Nothobranchius furzeri: one gene and its partners. The protein of the gene in region 3 interacts with the protein of the main gene of each other region in a biochemical or structural test. Links are inferred from orthologs where the notes say so. Each region holds a gene or a part of one and is shown on either strand. Other genes may lie near its edges. The genes, in order: kmt2cb, setd1a, wdr5, setd1ba and chd8.

Evidence for each region.
Region 1: the proteins of wdr5 (region 3) and kmt2cb form a complex in vitro, tested with the Homo sapiens proteins (4 studies listed by BioGRID, with this or other methods). The link is inferred for Nothobranchius furzeri from reciprocal best matches to the Homo sapiens genes WDR5 and KMT2C.
Region 2: the proteins of wdr5 (region 3) and setd1a form a complex in vitro, tested with the Homo sapiens proteins (4 studies listed by BioGRID, with this or other methods). The link is inferred for Nothobranchius furzeri from reciprocal best matches to the Homo sapiens genes WDR5 and SETD1A.
Region 4: the proteins of wdr5 (region 3) and setd1ba interact in a test that uses a peptide from one of them, tested with the Homo sapiens proteins (3 studies listed by BioGRID, with this or other methods). The link is inferred for Nothobranchius furzeri from reciprocal best matches to the Homo sapiens genes WDR5 and SETD1B.
Region 5: the proteins of wdr5 (region 3) and chd8 form a complex in vitro, tested with the Homo sapiens proteins (2 studies listed by BioGRID). The link is inferred for Nothobranchius furzeri from reciprocal best matches to the Homo sapiens genes WDR5 and CHD8.

The regions. Positions count from the first base shown.
Region 1 is NC_091751.1:52,963,883-52,967,858, forward strand, and holds the start of kmt2cb (histone-lysine N-methyltransferase 2C), read right to left. Parts: upstream 2,812-3,976; 5' UTR 2,791-2,811; intron 260-2,790; exon of another isoform or gene 33-259; intron 1-32. UniProt on the Homo sapiens protein: Histone methyltransferase that catalyzes methyl group transfer from S-adenosyl-L-methionine to the epsilon-amino group of 'Lys-4' of histone H3 (H3K4).
Region 2 is NC_091745.1:9,169,490-9,173,004, reverse strand, and holds part of setd1a (histone-lysine N-methyltransferase SETD1A), read left to right. Parts: coding exon 1-1,006; intron 1,007-2,677; coding exon 2,678-3,029; intron 3,030-3,159; coding exon 3,160-3,341; intron 3,342-3,515. UniProt on the Homo sapiens protein: Histone methyltransferase that catalyzes methyl group transfer from S-adenosyl-L-methionine to the epsilon-amino group of 'Lys-4' of histone H3 (H3K4) via a non-processive mechanism.
Region 3 is NC_091746.1:41,695,524-41,699,550, forward strand, and holds the start of wdr5 (WD repeat-containing protein 5), read left to right. Parts: upstream 1-1,222; 5' UTR 1,223-1,409; intron 1,410-2,216; 5' UTR 2,217-2,242; coding exon 2,243-2,320; intron 2,321-2,506; coding exon 2,507-2,615; intron 2,616-3,021; coding exon 3,022-3,095; intron 3,096-3,646; coding exon 3,647-3,736; intron 3,737-4,027.
Region 4 is NC_091746.1:51,994,316-51,997,830, forward strand, and holds part of setd1ba (histone-lysine N-methyltransferase SETD1B-A), read left to right. Parts: coding exon 1-75; intron 76-335; coding exon 336-434; intron 435-713; coding exon 714-984; intron 985-1,796; coding exon 1,797-1,918; intron 1,919-2,063; coding exon 2,064-3,164; intron 3,165-3,515. UniProt on the Homo sapiens protein: Histone methyltransferase that catalyzes methyl group transfer from S-adenosyl-L-methionine to the epsilon-amino group of 'Lys-4' of histone H3 (H3K4) via a non-processive mechanism.
Region 5 is NC_091751.1:63,449,444-63,452,958, forward strand, and holds part of chd8 (chromodomain-helicase-DNA-binding protein 8), read left to right. Parts: coding exon 1-2; intron 3-840; coding exon 841-1,051; intron 1,052-1,166; coding exon 1,167-1,362; intron 1,363-1,440; coding exon 1,441-1,611; intron 1,612-1,691; coding exon 1,692-1,982; intron 1,983-2,072; coding exon 2,073-2,293; intron 2,294-2,372; coding exon 2,373-2,575; intron 2,576-2,666; coding exon 2,667-2,823; intron 2,824-2,897; coding exon 2,898-2,987; intron 2,988-3,053; coding exon 3,054-3,157; intron 3,158-3,296; coding exon 3,297-3,420; intron 3,421-3,515. UniProt on the Homo sapiens protein: ATP-dependent chromatin-remodeling factor, it slides nucleosomes along DNA; nucleosome sliding requires ATP. Acts as a transcription repressor by remodeling chromatin structure and recruiting histone H1 to target genes.

The DNA of each region.
Region 1 (3,976 bases), on a different chromosome or scaffold from region 3:
GAAAAGAAATGAAAGTTGACATTGTATATTACCTTCCCAGCCCTATGGACAGCGAATTGTCCTCTTCATGTCCCAAAATAATGGGGGGATGAAACGTTTTATCAACCAGCCAGCTAGCAGCTAGCTTCTCTCCAATGAAACAAGACCGCAGTTCTCAAAAATGCACAGCGCATATCATTATATCCCAGCGTTGCAATGATATTCCCAACTTTGCCCATTTGATGGAAAAGCCGTTGATGTAAATCCAAAAGAAAACCGCTTCACTGGCATTTGCGGAGATCACTTTCCTTTTTCTCCAATGACAGCTGTCGAGTTCGGGTAACACAGCTAGTTGATGTTAGCCACCCAAAAATTTGATCATTAACATGAAAACAAACAAGAGCCAAAACACATGTGGCTGTCAAAAAAGAAGAGCAACCAATCGGTGGATAAAACTTCAAATTCTTGAGGAACGTGTAACGACGAGGAGAAGGAAACGTTCGGTTCCGACCGCTGGCTTGGCAACTGGTTCTATTTTCTTCAGCTGCGACAAGCAGAAGCGGCCAGTTAGGAGACTCTCGCAACCAGCCTGCCACGCAGTAACAACCGGCTCCAAAAACGTGTAGAAACAAACATTAGCTTGCCCAAAATAACAGTGTGTCCGCCGAACGATGTGAGCTGAAAAATATATGAGAAAAATCATAAAATTAAGTTGAGGATGACGCTTCGGCGTACTCTATAACGGTGGCCATATCTAATGATAAGTGGCACCGAAGCACAGACCCTCCTCCCCCTAGGCTCTTAAAAAAACTAGATCCACCTCGTCCGAGCAGAACTACAGCAGACACGTATTTTCACATCGTCGTGGTTTATTTAAAATTAGTATTTCAAGAGTTTGGCAAATATATAAGCGCACGGATAAAACACAGGCATCAATAAATTGCACCCAAGTCGTTTTACGATTTCTTCAAAATACTCTCTGACCCTGCGGATTGATATGAGCATTTAGTAAATAAAATAATGGCCAGGGTAAGTGCGAAAAGGCGGATTCTGGAGTTTTTGGAGAGGAACGGTCAACAATGAACGCTCCAGTTTATGCAAATGTTTTCCCAAAAGAAGCAAAGAAACTCACTGTCAGCTTTCCAGGTTTCTTTAAAAAATATGAGTACTGATAGTTGGCATTAGTGGTGGTGTTTTAGACCTCGCGCAATGTTACCTCATGCTGGCAGGGACACCACAGCGTCCTCATTTTATCTCCCCCCCCTCCCCCTCCCACTCCCCCCCTACCCCCCACAGCAACAAACGTGAACTCATGGGCGCGCGCACGTACACTCACAAACAACACACAATACCTTTGCAAACCAGGCATTGCATTTTAAGGAACCTGCATACTGCCAGACACGCTGCACATGCAGGGGTTAACTTTCCTAAAGGTCCCCAGGGGTTGTCTTTCAGCCTGCACATGCATGAGAAATAAACAAAAATGTTGTGTATTATCACAAGTTCTGCGTTTCAATTACTCAGTCAATCACATTTTATTTATTTCCTTCGTGAGACGCCCACATTATTAGTGTTAATGATAATAATGTAGGTAAACGTCAACGATTCTTTGCATGAACCATGGCACTTCTTTCCTAAGCTATGCGCGCCACCTGCTGGCCAATGCAAAATATTGACTTTTTACTTGATTACGAAATTTTAAACGAATAAATAAACACCACTACTACTACTACTACTACTCAGTGGCGGTTCTACATGGAATTACTCCCCGGGCGAGGCCCCCTTTGAGCGCCCCCCCCCAACCGCCCCCACCACCACCACACCGCCCCACCTGCACGAACACACGTTTTCTACAAACAGGCAGGTTTTATTAGAACGACTATTGAACATTCATTTTTCTAAGTTGCACATATTTACATTAATTACTATGAAGTTGTCAGAATGTAAAGCACTATACATTATACACTGTATCAAAATATATAGAATCAAATATACAAAAACAACTAAACTAACTAAATATTAAGAATATATGCACATAATATATAATAAATATTCTAAATAGCAAAAATATTTAACACATAACAAACTAAAGATAATCACTATACAGCACTGCACTTAGAACAGAAAACACAAACTAAAATTAAAACCTAACCTTGATGCAAAGTCATCAATAATGTCATCACATGAAATCTGCTCCCCTACTGAGTGATTGATACTAATCAGAGCCAGGTGAATGAGCCGCCCCTGAAACATAGGTGACCTCAGGTATGACTTGATCAAGTTTTGAAAAGCTCCTCTCAGCTTGAGCCACAGTGACTGGCAGAGCAGTCCAAAAGTTGGGGTAGATCTCCAATAGATCTTTATCATGATCCATAATATTTTACAATTGCCTCTGAAATTGTAATTTAAACTGACATAAAAAAACTGTAGACTACCAAAAATGCCAACTTTTACAGAACAAATCATGTAAAAAATAATCAGTAGAGCCATCTGCAATAAATAAACAGGATAGTTAGTGGTGACTGGGGAGTTCTCTTCTGCTTGTAGAGTTGTTTTATTTATTATTATGTGAACATGATCAACATGTGTTTATTGTTGTTCAGGCGGGCCACAGGCTGCAGTGAGCATTTAACAAATCCTAGTTTGAATCAGTAAAAACGATTCAAGGAATTTTTTCGAACCATTTGAATATTCGTTTAAATATTTCAGCCCTATTAGCTCTGTTAGCAATTAGTTGACCAAATTTAACCGTTAAAATCCCAGTTAACTGGTTCAAAAAATTGAAAACATGCATCATGAGAGCGAACATACCTTTATCTTTCTCCTCTTTTTTCTTTTTTTTTTTCCTGAATCGGGCACCTGGTGGTTTTAGCCTTTTTATGTTCATCTCTTCTGTTTGGCTCTTGACTCAATAAGTTTCCTTTAGTCAGGACTAAACTATTTGACCTTGATGGGGGGGTGAACACAAAATCGTTTTGTTTTTCCTTTTTTATTTGGCCATTTCACACAATTCAGAAACACCTGAAAGAATGATAGGCCTGTGTTTATGATATTATGAATGAAATATGGAAGAACATCAAGATGTGATCGACTTTAAACATGTTGATACAGTTGATTCAGCCCCTAGCTCATTTCATTTGGACCCACCCAGAGGTGAATTCTCCCGCCGCACCCCTCCCCTTCCTGTTCTCCATACACACACACACGGTGCACGGAGCGCCTGCAGCTGCAGGGGGCGCCAACTTGCTGTTTCCAATCCAGACACTGTCATATGACAGATAATAGAAAACCTCGGTGCGGCGCAGGTTTCTTTTTTCTTTTTTTTTTACTCAGCGCTTGTGCGCCCCTTTTGTGTCATGAAAAAATGCCGCCCCGGGCAACTGCCCTGTCTGCCCGTGCCTAAAACCGCTACTGCTACTACTACTACTACTACTACTACTACTACTACTACTACTTCTACTACTACTACTAATAATAATAATAATAATAATAATAATAATAATAATAATAATATAACACCACCACTACTACTACTAATAATAACAATGAACAAGATAAAAAATATGTCTAATGGAAATTTTATCATAATATGGATAAGTTCAAAAATGTCTTAAGTGCAACTGTGGGTGACCCATTGCAGAGTAAATATGCTATAAAAATATATTTTTTTAAATCAAAGCTCATGTTTCTTTTATGTTGAATAATGAAAGCTTTTATTTTTCATGCATTTTAAAAATAATCACCTGCAAAAATGAACCAGTGGCACGTCCAGGTCTTGTCCTTTTGTGGATGATGTAGTTATCTTTAATGGAACTCAGCAGGGTGGCCAATAATATTCCAAGGGTGACATGTGCTATCCAGGCCACTCTCTGGACACGCCCCTGGCACCAACACACTGGGTAAATGACATTAAAGCGAAAACGCTTTAGACGCAGATTCATTATATTTTTCTAGTTTGAAACCAAATCTTTGACATATAACTCTAGGAGATTTCAGT
Region 2 (3,515 bases), on a different chromosome or scaffold from region 3:
AATCCAGCTTCTGCCTTTCGCCTCAAAACCAGGAGAAGGCAATGCCCTCATTGTCCCCCCTCCTGGACGAGCCCAGGATTCAGAGGAGACCAAAAAGGGACCTTTTGTTATCACGCACACAACTTCTGTCAAGTCTCCCAGCAAACGGGGAGCAGGCAAAGACTCTCCCAGATCTCCCGCCCCTATTATGATATGCCGCACGGTGCAGAACCTTCCATTGGACCATGCTTCTATGTGTAGGATGGCCTTTGAGGAGGCCCCTCCACCACCTTCTGTCAAGCGGCCCAGAGGCAGACCTCGGACATCCAGCATTTCTGCTTCTTCCTGTCACTCCTTCAGAGAGGATGACGAGGATGAGGAGGAAAGTGAGCTAAGGTTAAGACTTAGAGAGCAGGTGGGAGCTTCCAGCCTCCTGCAGCTGTCCTCGGCCTCCACAGCTGACCTGTCTGTGCTGGCTGATGTAGCCTTAAAAATGGACCCAGATGCTGGGGACTCTGAGGAGACAGAAACTTCTGATGAAGCAGAAGAGCAGAAAATGGAAGGAAATGTCCTCTCTCCAGAGTCGCTGGCTTTGCTTGTAAGTCCTGGAGGTGTTATCGTCCTTTTGGAGCACAACTACTGCAAACCTCCTTTACTCGTAGCACCATCCACTTCCAAAAAGGCTTCCTCTAGACAAGATTCCTCCATCTTAGTCCCGACAGACCTCAATTCTATTTCTGGGGTCCTTGAGGCTCCAGAGGAAGTGATTGGAGAGGCGTTACCGTCCAGGTTGTATGCTGGAGACTACCTGCCTTCAGCGGGAGAGCTGAGTGATTCTGATGATCTGAGCCACGTGGCAGCTGCAGCGCCATCTCCAAAGAAGAAACATTATCCTGGGAAAGGTTTAGAACTTGAATATGACAAGAGTGAAAAGAGGAAGAGAAAAGATAAAGAAAACCTTGAGCCACACCATTCACGGAAGCAGAAGGAGCCGGCAGGCAAGAAGCAGAGGAAGCAGAAACTAGAGGTACGTGGTTTCCTGCAGATGGCTGAGTCATCCTCTGCAATCTCTCACAACTTTATTTTTTTTATTTTTTGTGCACAATTTTTATTAAGGTCATAAAAGCTGGTATAGTTTGTTTAGGTTTATATAGACCAGTGTCTATTTGGCTTTGTTCACACTGCAGGTCTTGATGCTTAATTCCGATTATTTTTTTGTATGGTTGCACGCATTATAACTGAAATGCAACATCAAACACTCTCCAGTGTAAACGGTTCATGACCCCAAAGTGACTCGCATGCGCAGAAGATAAGAAGTCACACTCAGTGGAGTCGTGGAGAGGTGGAAGCCTTCACTGAGAGTTCATCCGTAATTTCAGGATCACACCTGGAAACTATTTTACTCCCCTTTCCCACCATCCTACCTTAATAGTATTCCCAGGAAATGTTCCGATGCTACGTTCATTCATGGACAAACACCCCAGCCCTCTCTGACAGTGACCGGGGAGACGCTTTGCTCCAGCAGCACCCTCCATTCATACTCGCTTCTATTTAATAATCATTTCAGTTCCAAAACTTGACAGGACGTCTAGACAGACCTCTGAATCCCTCCTTCAGCACTTCTTCTCGGAAACGTGAACACACGTGCTCACCTCTGATGATCAGTGATAGAGGAGGCAGATTTGATGCAACATGATCGTTCAGACTGAAGTTGCTTTCAAAAACATCAGGATACGTATTGGATTCAGTACCACATATGAAAGTCACTTGGATTGGATTTGAAAAAGTCTGATCGGTGCTGTTTTGGCTGTTAAAAAAACAGAAATGGGTCACACATGAGAAAAACTTGGATTTGATGCGCTTTTGCCTGCAGTGTGAATGTAGCCAATGTGAGATATTCCCACTACTGCAGCAGAGACGATAATAAATGAGAGCTTTATCAGTCCTCTATAGCAGTGGTCCTCAATAGGCGGCCTGCAGGCCTTCTCTTTGTGGTCCCTGAACCCCGCGTGCATCCACACACCTAAAAACATTTTTTTATTTATTTACCCCCCCCCCCCCCCCCATTTTCTAGAAGCTGACCGATATGAGTTTTTTCAAAGGCCAATGCTGATTTTTAAAGAATTTTGTTGCCGATTATTAAGGCCTATATATACGTTTTAGCAGCACATTGATTGTGAAAGACACTGTGTGCAATATAAATGAAGTAAGTCAGTAAATCTCTGATTATTTATTGAACTTCACATACAAAACAAGCTCAAAACATTAAAAAATTGGTGTGTTGGGGTCCTTCGGGTCCTTTCTTCAGTCTAGTAGTGGTGGCAGTTGGTCACACAGATGCCTGATTTTTTTATTTAAAAAAAGTTATTTTTATTTATTTATTTATTTATTTGCAGCTTTTAAAAATAATTTCAGCCAATATAGAAACAATGTAATATATTGGCCTTATATATTGGTTGGCCTCTACCATTTTCACAACAGTTTGCTCTAGCTGTATGTTCTGTGTTACAGATTATTAGAAGTTCTTTTCAGTTTGGTCATTTAAAAAAATAAAAGTATATGATTTTGCCTCAATAACCGAAAATGGCCAGTTCATATATTACCTCCTCTTGACCACATTTGTGTCATGATTTGTACTAGATGTCAGTAAATCCTAAATAGACCCAAATCCAGTGACAGCTGACTTTTCGTCCTCCAGGATTCTGACTTAGATGAAGATGTGGACGTGGAGGAGCTTGAATCTGGGGAGCTCTCCAGCTCAGACACTGATAACGAGATGGCAGAAGACGTGAGGAAGAGCGAACGCCTCTTTCTGCAGGAGGCGGGGGTGACTTCGCCACGCAGGCTGAAGCCTGTTCCTGCACCTGAGCTGCCACCTGTTAAGTTTGAAAACCGTAGTGAATTTGAACAAATGACCATCTTGTATGACATCTGGAATGCTGGTCTGGATGGTGAAGACTTGACCTACCTGAAGAAGACTTATGAGAAGCTGTTACAGGACGACCACAGCTCCGACTGGCTCAACGATACTCACTGGGTCACTCATACTGATATCCTTTTCAAACGCTAACTGCTCAGATCTTTTCCTGACATTTCCTGTACCATGTATTACTATTTAATATGACTAAGATGAAATGTTTACACATTTCTGATGTTTCATCCTTGACTCTTGAGCTGCACTAACCAATTTACCAAACCCTCGACGCAAAAAGAAGAACACAGATGGACAGCTTCGAGAGCATGTGACTGGATGTGCCAGGAGTGAGGGTTACTACGCCATCAGCCGCAAGGAGAAGGACGTCTACCTAGACCTGCATCTTCCCGAGCAGGTCATACGGGAAGTTGAGAATGTCGATACCTCAGTAAGTAACCTCTTAAATCGGAGCTAATTCATTTGATATGAGCTTTCCTCTTTGATTTATTTAAAAGCAACAAAAAAAAGTTGTTAAATGTAGGTATAAGTTACAGAAATAAACTCGCAATAGCTTCTAATGCTGGTGTGAAAATAACGATGGGTTTCCTTTGAGACAATTGTA
Region 3 (4,027 bases):
ACGCAGAAGATATCGTCAAATACTTTTCGTTTACAGTGAAAAACGTGGCGTAATGTACGAATGAGACTAAATGACTAAATAAGCGAGATGGTTTTACTCAAAATGTATTAAAATGTAGGTTTGGACAAAGCGACATGATTGGCTTTAAAACGTTTCAAATACTTATCGTGAAATAAAAACACAAGTATGCACGATGTTCGTTAGCATAAAGTTAGCTAGCTGGTTTGGTAAGGGACACTGCAGCGGATGACAACACACTTTGTGACACCGACTGTTGATATAAGTTTCGAAATACCAACTACAGGTTTTGGTTAAGTAACGTTTGCTTTAATTTGGGGCAAAATGTAGCGCCAATAAATAAGCTTGAATTAAATTATCATATAACGAAGCGAAGAAGTCCGCTTCTTTAAACACCTATTGTTGTTATGGAGGAGGCTAACCGCTAAGTAATGAGTAAAAATAAGAAAATAACAACAGAAGTGTTTACCAACTCATTTAAGAGGGCGTGTTGACATGGGAGCTTGACGCTGCACGGCTTGGAAGAAAGCTCACCGAAGCCAAAACAAACTAGTGAACACCAGAGTGCAGTGTGTTCAAAAAGAACTAGAAACTTCTTCCCCGACCTATTGCAGCCACGGCTGAAGGGACAGGTCTGGTGCTCATAGCGCCATCTGTTGAGCCGGAGAATCCAAAGCGCGTTCACAGCTGATTTATGGTAAAAGTGTGAAATCTGCATTTCACAAAATCATATTTATAATTGTGGAAAGTATTGAGCTAAAAAGTAAATGGTTAGGGTTATATAAATAAATGCAAGTGATTTACTATGAAAATATCACAGTCAGTAGTTCATAACTACATAAAGCATAAAATAAGGTTACGACGTATTAAAGATATGTAATTTGTTTGTTTTATTTAGATTTTTGTTTGCTGTGTGTTTGTTTCTGTTTCATGTAGACTTTTCCTTTTTGCATATTGATTGACTCTGACAGCCACAGCCTGGTTTTTAAATGGCTACTGCCTTTCATTGAAATTTAGATGAAGTATTTCACATAATGTACTTCTACAAATTCTCTGTTGAGAATTTTTGTCATTTTAAATTTAAAAAATACAAACTTGTAATAAATAAGATTAATTAAAACTATTGGGCTCTTTTCAAACGGCAGTCGAAACGATTTTTTCATAATTGTCCCTCATTAGTTCCCGTCACTTTTGAACGTCATGCGCCTGCGCAAACTGTAAGCACATTCCCCGCTTCACCTCGCAGCTCGTTCCTTTACCAGGCAAACATCCTCAAGCAAATAGCTTGATTTGTTCTTTGTTCTATCTCTCTTTAGTTATTATACGGACTGTTTTAGATTTCCAGGATTTGCAAGGAGTACCAGTCTGACTGTAGATCTAAATTGATCAACGTAAGTATCGGTGTAAAACCGAATCTTCATTGTTTCAATGGAGGCCCCCTTCGTGGCTGCATAACTTGTCAACAGCATCAACTGCATGTCAAAACTGCGATTAGCTTCTTCATATAACTGTGGCGTTCATGCCAAAATACATTTTATTCCGCGAGACAGCCTCTAATCTATAGATCTTCACGTTGTTTTGTTCGAAGGTAACCCAAGTATATTCAGGTGTTGAACTTTACAGCGAACGTACTCGTTCTCCCTTTGTTTGCTTTTATTTTTCGCATAAATAATAATTCGAAGCAAAAACGAGCTGGTGTCAATGCATTTGAAGGCAACACAAGATGGTAAACGGTAACCGGACAAGGGGGTTGGCCTCAATCGGTTTTCATAGTAAGAGCAATTTAACGTTAGCTAACTTCAGCTAGCTGCATTAGCTAATTTTATAGCTAAACGGACCCTAAACGGGCATTTAAATACTTTTGAGCATCACAGCCTATTAATAAGCCTAATTAAAGTAAAATTTACATGATATATACTTAATTTATCTTATTTAAAGTAAACCCCACTGTTTATTTTAGATCACAGTAAAGGAAGCTAATGCTAACAGATAAAACAATAGTTTTTAATCACGTTTACCTTAATGGTGGTTATTAGCAGTCATCGAGCTGGAGGGTTTATCTTATTTCTCCAAACTTTAAAATTCCGGGTGTTAGAAATTGTAAAATTTCCACCCAATAACTTATCCCAGTTGTTTAATCTTTAGGTTTAACTTGCCTGATTTATTAACTTTTTTTATGGTTTCTTCTTTTGTCTCAGGTGCAATAGATGCTGATTTCCTCACCATGGCAACAGAGGACAAGAAACCAGAGACTGACACCAAGCCTCCAGTTGTCCCATCAGCCTCTGCTAGCCAAAGCAAGGTCTGACAAACCCAAGTTTTGGCATTGCCTGTAATCTCCCACCCTGTCCTCTTATGATAGTTTAATTCTAAGTTTTTGTTAAGGACTGTCAATATTCCAGCATTATTTCGGATTTTTTCTTTCTTTATTGAAAGTATTTCATCATGTTTATTCATTTGCTAAATTAGAACTGGTTTTCTTTTGCAGACTGCACCTGCAAAACCAAACTACAGTTTGAAATTCACACTAGCGGGACACACTAAGGCTGTGTCCTCGGTTAAATTCAGTCCAAGTGGAGAATGGCTCGCCAGCTCGTGTAAGCATCTCATTTTGAATCATATCTTGTTTAAATCTCAGCTACCTCAACATAAATCTTCTTTCATTCCATAATAAAATGTATTGGGTTTTGTGAAACTATGTTTGATCCAGAGCTTTTTTTAAAGTTTGATAAAACACTTGTACTGCATAGATGAAGTGTATTTTGTGCTCTAAGTTAAATGTAAATAACAATAATAGCAGTGCTTTAGTGACTAAATATTCTTATGCAATTGTGAAATTTTTATTGGTTTTAGTATTTATCTTTGGGTACACTCGTTTCATTTGAATATCTGATCAGCTGAAATGATTGAAATGGGGAAATTATATATTTTTTACCATTTTGCAACTTTTCAGTCATTTTTTTTCTCTTTTTCATGATGTCTTTTTCATTGTTTGTGTTACAGCTGCTGATAAACTCATCAAAATCTGGGGCGCTTATGATGGCAAGTTTGAGAAAACCATTTCTGGACACAAACTTGTGAGTAGAAGGGACCCTTACCTGTGGCACTGTTGTGTTTCTGCCTGCAGGACTGTATTAGGTAGAGTTTCACCGCTTTTACTAAAACATCAAAGACTCCTCCCACCCTGGTCATTACTGTTTTGGACTCTTGCCGTCCAGTTGGTGCAAACAATCCCCTTCCCCACAGCAGTAAACTAAATGTACTAAAACCCTCTCATGCGCATTAGAGCAAAAACCTCAGTCACCAGTGCAATAAGTCTAATATAAAGTGAATACATTTACTGCTGCTACATATCTAGTAAACATGTACTTCTGTTTATATATTTATATCTGTTCTTTTTTTCTTCTGTTATTCCAAACACACCATTTGAGTGCCATGCAGCAGCAGAGGGTATTCACATGCAGTGAATAATAAAAACTTTGAGTCTGATCTGTTTGGTCGTTCAAAGCAAGAACAAGATTGTATTTACATTTTTAGAAGATAAACATGAGAAATGACTCCATTGTTTACTCTTGTATCATTTTATGTCCTTGAAGCCTTGAGATCTTAGAATTTCTTTATTTTCCAGGGAATATCTGATGTGGCCTGGTCATCTGACTCCAACCTTCTTGTTTCTGCGTCGGATGACAAAACTCTGAAGATCTGGGACGTTAACTCGGTAAGAATGTTTTAAGGTGTGGTTCATTGAAAAACCTTTTTTAATGATTATTTTAGTTACTCTGAGGTTTTTCATGCAGGCTGAACATGACAAAAGTCTCCTATCTTCTGGATTAGCTAGAAAATAGATGGTGAAAGTCTAGGGTTAGAAAATCCTGACAGATCCACGTTACACTGTCACTAAACATTCATGGGCTCACCCATCTTGGCTCATGACGAGGACGGCTATTGTTGGTTTAGCGTCCAGAAAACAGCATAGAACATCTCGGCTGGTAGAAGCTAACCGTTAGCA
Region 4 (3,515 bases), about 10 Mb from region 3:
TTGATCATCGACCCGGCGCTGAAGAAGGGATCACACAAACTGTATCGCTACGATGGACAGACTTTCAGCATGCCAGTAAGTGCCGCCTTTGACGCGGCGTAACGGCTACAATAGTAACCGAGTAGCCGACCTCCATGATGCGTTACTACAGCGGCCGCGTTGCCCCGAATGTCCAGGGGGATTGTTCGGCATCTTTAACACGGTGTTTCCGGAGGGGGTGTGATGGCTGGGCTGAACACCCCTGCTTTCACCAGGACTACTTTGCAACAAGTTCGTGTGTGAACTTGTTTACGGGATGGTTAATAGGACTGCCTCTCTCTCTTTCTCTCCTGCAGAACCCTGGGATACCACCGGTGGAGATCGTCCGAGACCCGAGGATCGGTCGTCTCTGGACCAAGTACAAAGAAACGGACCTACCGGTGCCTAAGTTTAAGGTATCTACTGTGGCTGGAGTCCCACGCTGCGTTTCTCCCTGTGGAAAAGAGGTGCTGTCAGAAGTTGCAGACACACCCCCTCTCTGTCATCTCTGGGACCTGAGCTAAACCCGTCGGGAGGATTTTAAAATCTCCATTCACATATTCCAGGACAGAGTTCACCCACACATTTACTGCAACCTCGTATTTCTTTTCTTATCGTAGCTGCTTCAGCTCGCCTCCAGCACGGTGCATCATTAACCCAACGGCACTTATTAACTCCTGTCCTCCTCCTCCCAGATCGATGAGTGCTACGTCGGCCCCGTGCCTCCGAAAGAGGTGACGTTCGCCCGGCTGAACGACAACATCAGGGAGGGATTTCTCACGGACATGTGCAAAAAATTCGGAGACATCGAGGAGGTCGAGATCCTGTACAATCCGAAGAACAAAAAGCACCTGGGAATAGCTAAAGTGGTTTTTGAGAATGTCAAATCCGCCAAGGTGGCTGTTCAGTCGCTGCACAACACGTCTGTGATGGGAACCATCATCCACGTGGAGCTGGACCCAAAAGGTAAACAACAGAGCTCCATTCATTCACATCGAATATGCTCAGGCACTGTTTTATTCTCTCAGATAGTTTATCAGAAACGCAGATCTAAAAAAAATCACATACGTGTGCTTTATTGGTTTGTTTTGGGTTGTCTGGATGACAGCAGTCACGTGCTGAAATTTACGTGCGTTGCTTGGTAACGTGGGATAATTGAATTTCATTGAAAATGAGCCTGTTCCCACAAGCTCAGAGCTGAGGGTGCTGTGTACTCCCTCTGTGCATAATTTCAGATCTGCAAACAAACACAAACCAATCTGTCACAGTCCTCCTCACCTCAGTTCACACCAAAGTGCTTTATTTGACCTTTTTTATAGCAAAATGCCTGATTGATCTTTGTTGATGCAAACCTCCAAATGTAAAGATTATTCCTCAATTGCTATATATGTATGTATGTATGTATGTATGTATGTATGTATGTATGTATGTATGTATAGCATCTGTGCTGATTCAAAGATTTCATGTTTTAAGCGTCACTATGCATGTTTCCATTGATTACACATAAACTCGTAATTTGCATGTATTTTTGTTAGATATGCAGACATGCTTTGGTCCACGCTCAGTCACATGTTAGGTTGCTTCATTGATTGAGAAAACGAATGCATGGCGTGATGAGGGATTGATAATCGATCGTGGCATTTTGTAAGGCTCCTACATTAGAAATGATCAGCTGTTCAGCATCATTTTCAGCCACTGTGAATTAGTGCCATTTGTTGAACAATTAACCCCATTATTAGTCTTCCAGTACTAAGCATGTCTTGTTTACTGTACTGCAGGTGAGAATCGCCTGAGGTACTTCCAGCTCCTGATGAATGGCAGCTACACTCCAAGGACGCTGCCTGTTGGTGTAGAGGAGACCCGGGAGGTTTCCCCGCGGAGCCTGGCTGAAGCGTTACTGGTCAATTAAAACTTTATTGCTGTTGTTTTAGTTTGAAATAACTTCTTAAGTAGTGTCAACATTCATTGTTTACAGCCTGTTTTATGCTTTGTGCCTTTTTGGGACATCCGTTGTTGACTGGTATCCTCATTTCGTTTTGTTCCAGGCCTGCGAGCCCATCCGCAGGTTGTCTGAGAGCAGCATCTCCTCTGTGGGAGGAGCGCTGCCGCCCAGCAGCTCTACCACTCCCCTGAGCTTGGAGACCGGCTACTCCAGCTTAAGGCAGGACACCCCCCAGTCCCAGGGAACCCCTCACACCCCACGCCAGCCAGGCACACCCTTCTCTCAGGACTCTAGTTTCTCCAGTCGGCAGTCCACGCCTGCATACCAGTCCAGCCGTCCCGAGAGCTCCGGAGGCTACAAGTCTCGGAGGCACGAGAGCAAGTTCCAAGATGCGTACAATCGCAGACCAGAGAGGCCGCAGTATCGCAGCAACATGTATCGCAGTACGTCGTCTGAGCAGGCTCCTTCAAAACAGCACCAGCTCACCCCGCCTGAACCTCCACCTTCCACCACCTCCTTCAACTACTCCGCGCCTCCCCCCACTACGCCTAACTTCAAGTCTGCCTTCTCACCCTACCAGGCACCTTTGCCTCCCGCCTTCCCCCCATCTGAGCCACCTTTTCATCACCCATCCCAAAGGGAGGGTGAGTACCTCCTACCTCCGCAGCCTCCACTGGCAGCTCCAACTGACTTTTTACCCGTCAAGGAGAGACCAGAAACTCCTCCCATCCCAGAGCCGCCACCTGAACCTAGTCCCCATCCGACTACCCCTCCCCCCCAGACCCCGGAGGACTGCCCCTCGCCCGGCTCTCCGGTGCTGGACTCGGAGCGTAACAGCCTGGATTCTCGCATCGAGATGCTCCTGAAAGAAAAAAGGACAAAACTGCTGCCGTTCCTGGAGGAGCGGGACTCGGACAACGAGGTGCGCATGGAGGGAAGTCCTATTTCCTCCTCGTCCTCCCAGCTGTCCCCGATCCCACCTTACACTGGTAGCTCTCAGGGTGGCCAGCAGAATTCCCGTCCCCCAAGTATGGGCTTGGAGGACATCAGTCCAACCCCACTGCCAGACTCGGATGATGACGAGCCTGTTCCCGGGATGTCCTCATTGGTTGGAAGAGTTGGCTCTCCTGTCCACGAGAAGAGCAAAACTGACCTCAAGGACGGGCCCTTTGGATGCCACAGTCCCGCTGATAAAACAGACACGGTAAGACGGAGACACATGTCTCCATACCCAGTTGGCACGAGAGGCTGTTGCTGGTGTGTGCAGGTGTGAATGACAGTTACACAGGGACACAGGAAGTCAGGTTTAGCTTAAGCGTGAGGCGGTAGTAGTAAAGCCTTTTGTGTCATTGGTTTTGTTCTGCCTTATAAAGGAAATTCTGGTTTCTCAGCTGCGTAGTCTCATGGGTAAAGTGAAAGTAGTTTTTTTTTAAGTTTGGTATCTTCAAATCAGCACTAGCACACTTTCTAAGCTCCTCCTGAGTGCTGGTAGCAGGTGTTGGTGAGTTATTAGCTGCCTCAGAAGTTACAGAAGCACGCTCAGGTAGCTTTTCTA
Region 5 (3,515 bases), on a different chromosome or scaffold from region 3:
CGGTAAGGCTGAGGGGCGCCACAAACGATTGTTTTCTTATTGCACCAGGATGCAGCTGCTCTAATTCAGCCATCATTAGTTTCTAGTTTCAAGTGTGATCCGTTATGTGCAAGCTTATCAAGCTTATAAAACAACAGGGCTCTCATGTCCGTCACCAACATGTTTAAAATCGCCCGGTCAGAACCTTTGCTTGTCGACGTGTGCATGTTGGCTAGGTAACAAACTCGTCGAGCGCTTTTTTAATGCTGTAAGGTAGCGAGATACAATCAATCGTTGGCGTTTGTAACGTAAGAGCAAATAGGTGACATACGTGTGCTAAAGGTCACGAAATTGCCATCATTACTGTTGTTGCTACAGCTATGAACACAAGTAGCTCCCTGTTGATGTTAGCAGCTAATGAGAAGTAATTAGCTTACAGAGGCGACTGTCCGTCTTTGTTCTCCGCCATGACGAGCTTCCTTTGAAGGTATTCGTGCATGAACATGCTCCCGTGACAAGATTTAAATGTACGTGCTTCTCTTTTGTCTTTGTAAAGTGCTCCAAACTTTTGAGCTACGTTGCCGGCTTGCCAAGTCTTGTTTTTTCCAGTGACGCGACGGCTCAGCCGGGCGGCCACATGTGCCTCGAACAAAAAGGCAGAAAGCAGCAGTGGTGCTGCAGCGGGCAAAATTTATAAAACGCTTCATAGAATAAATGACGTTGACTTCAATTTATTACCGACTGTTTTGTTTGTTGACGTCATCATGACGTAACAACTAATCGTGGCAGCACTAGTACGGCCTAACATCTTTTAAAAAATCAGCTACCCAATTAATTACTGTTTCCTTTTTCCTTGTTCAGGCGCAGAGGAGAAGATCGTGGCGGAGCTGCGGCAGGTGTATGACCCCCTGGCCCCTGACTTTCATTTGCAAGCCCTGATTCGGTCAGCTGGGAAACTGGTGCTTCTCGATAAGCTGCTGCCCCGTCTGAAGGCTGGAGGCCACAAAGTGCTCATCTTCTCCCAGATGGTGCGCTGCTTGGACATCCTCGAGGACTACCTCATCAACAAGAGGTATAAACATCTACACACATCGTATTTTATCTCTTGATGGTGCAAAGTAACTTTGACATTATTGAAAGTTTGGGGAAACTTTGAAGAAACCTTCATGGGTTTTGTATTTCTCCAGGTACCTTTATGAACGAATTGATGGTAGAGTGCGTGGGAACCTGCGACAGGCAGCCATCGATCGCTTCAGCAAGCCAGACTCTGATCGTTTTGTCTTCCTCCTGTGTACTCGTGCTGGTGGTCTGGGCATCAACCTGACTGCTGCTGACACTTGTGTCATATTTGACTCTGACTGGAACCCTCAGAATGATCTGCAGGTATTGTGATGTACTAACGACGGGTTTTAAAGCTTTCTGTTCTGCCTCCACACCTTTTTCCCTTCTTTTTTTTTTCAGGCCCAAGCGAGGTGTCATCGTATTGGACAGTCAAAAGCGGTCAAAGTCTACCGTCTCATCACCCGGAACTCCTACGAGAGGGAGATGCTGGACAAAGCGAGTCTGAAGCTCGGATTGGACCGGGCTGTCCTTCAAAGCATGAGCGGCAACAAAGACAGCAGCGTCAACGGGGTAACGACTCGCTAGGCTGGTTGCTCACGTCACGTCTCATTGGATCTCTTGTCTAAACAATTTAATGTCATGTTTAACAGCTCCAACAGTTTTCCAAGAAGGAGATTGAAGATCTGTTGAGGAAAGGAGCCTATGCCGCCATCATGGATGAGAATGACGAAGGCAGCCGGTTCTGTGAGGAAGATATTGACCAGATCCTTCAGCGACGAGCCACCACCATCACTATTGAGAGTGAAGGAAAGGGCTCTACTTTCTCCAAAGCCAGCTTTGTGGCCTCTGAGAACCGCAATGACATCGCCCTCGATGATCCTGAATTCTGGGAGAAGTGGGCCAAGAAAGCAGATATAGACATGGATTCTATCAATCAGAAGGTGACGCTTTGGTGTTTGATTTTAATGGAGAGATTTATGGCTCACACAGATGGATATCCTCCTAAATCAGTTTGTTCCCTCCCCCTGCAGAACACACTGGTGATCGACACCCCCAGGATTCGCAAGCAGACCCGTCAGTTCTCCACTTTACGTGGCGAAGGTGGAGACCTGTCAGATCTAGAGAGTGATGACGAATATCCACCTGCTAATTCTAGACATTCGCGTGCTTCTCGCCGCTCTGATCGCCACAGCGGAGGAGGATACGGACGCACCGACTGTTTCCGGGTGGAGAAACACCTGCTGGTCTATGGGTGCGAACATGGTGTTTCCCTTTTATTTCGATGTTAAGCGGTCTTGTTGACGTTGCCTTGCGGGTTTGATCTGCTGTAGGTGGGGTCGCTGGAGGGACATCTTGTCTCATGCCAGATGTAAGAGGCGTCTGAGTGAGCGTGACGTGGAAACCATCTGCCGTGTCATCCTGGTCTTTTGTCTGCTGCACTATCGTGGTGATGAGAACATCAAGAGTTTCATCTGGGAGCTCATCACTCCTCCAGAGAATGGCCGAGAGCCTCAAACACTACTAAACCACTCTGGTATGAGGCTGTCATTTTCTCTTTTCAGTAGTTAAATCAGAAGACTAAATGAACTGTTGACATGTTTTTGTGTTTTTTTTTTTTTATTCAGGCCTTTCCATCCCCGTTCCAAGAGGCAGGAAGGGAAAGAGGGTGAAGGCTCAGAGTACGTTTGATGTGCAGAAGGTTGAGTGGATCCGCAAGTACAACCCTGACACTCTGCTGCTTGATGACAGCTACAGAAAACACTTGAAGCACCAGTGCAACAAGTGAGTGAGGCCAGTCAGACGCTGGTTCATGTCAACGACTTTGATTTAAGCTGAGATGTTTCCTCCGTTGTCAGAGTGTTGCTGAGGGTCCGGATGCTCTACTACCTCAAACAGGAGGTTATTGGTGAACATGCAGATGCTGTCTTGAAAGGAGCTGAGATCAGGTATTTGATGCTTCTTGTTTTATTTAAAGGTTCAGATTCGGTTACTGAGACGCCGTTTGTCTTTAGGGACGTGGACATCTGGATGCCAGAGATGGAGCAGCAGGAGGTGCCTGCTGTGTGGTGGGACGCTGATGCAGACCGCTCACTTCTTGCTGGTGTTTTCAAACATGGTAGAGTTACTTATTAAAAAAAATGAAGGCTGACTTTTTTTGGTTCCTGTTGGACTGGACCGTTTCCTGATGCTGGGACTTGATATTTGTTTTAAAGACGTTGGCGTTTAACTGATCTGATTTTGCAATTGGTTACCAGGTTATGAGATGTACACCACCATGCGAGCCGATCCCTGCCTCTGCTTCATAGAAAGAGTCGGTCGGCCTGACGACAAAGCCATTGATGCTGAGCAGCAAACCGGTGACGCGGAGCTCGGGGATGAGTAAGTTACCGCTGCTTTGTTCTGCCTTTCATAAATTCTACTTTTGTGATTAGAAAGTGGTTCTAACTGCTGATATTCAAACGGGACCCCTCACA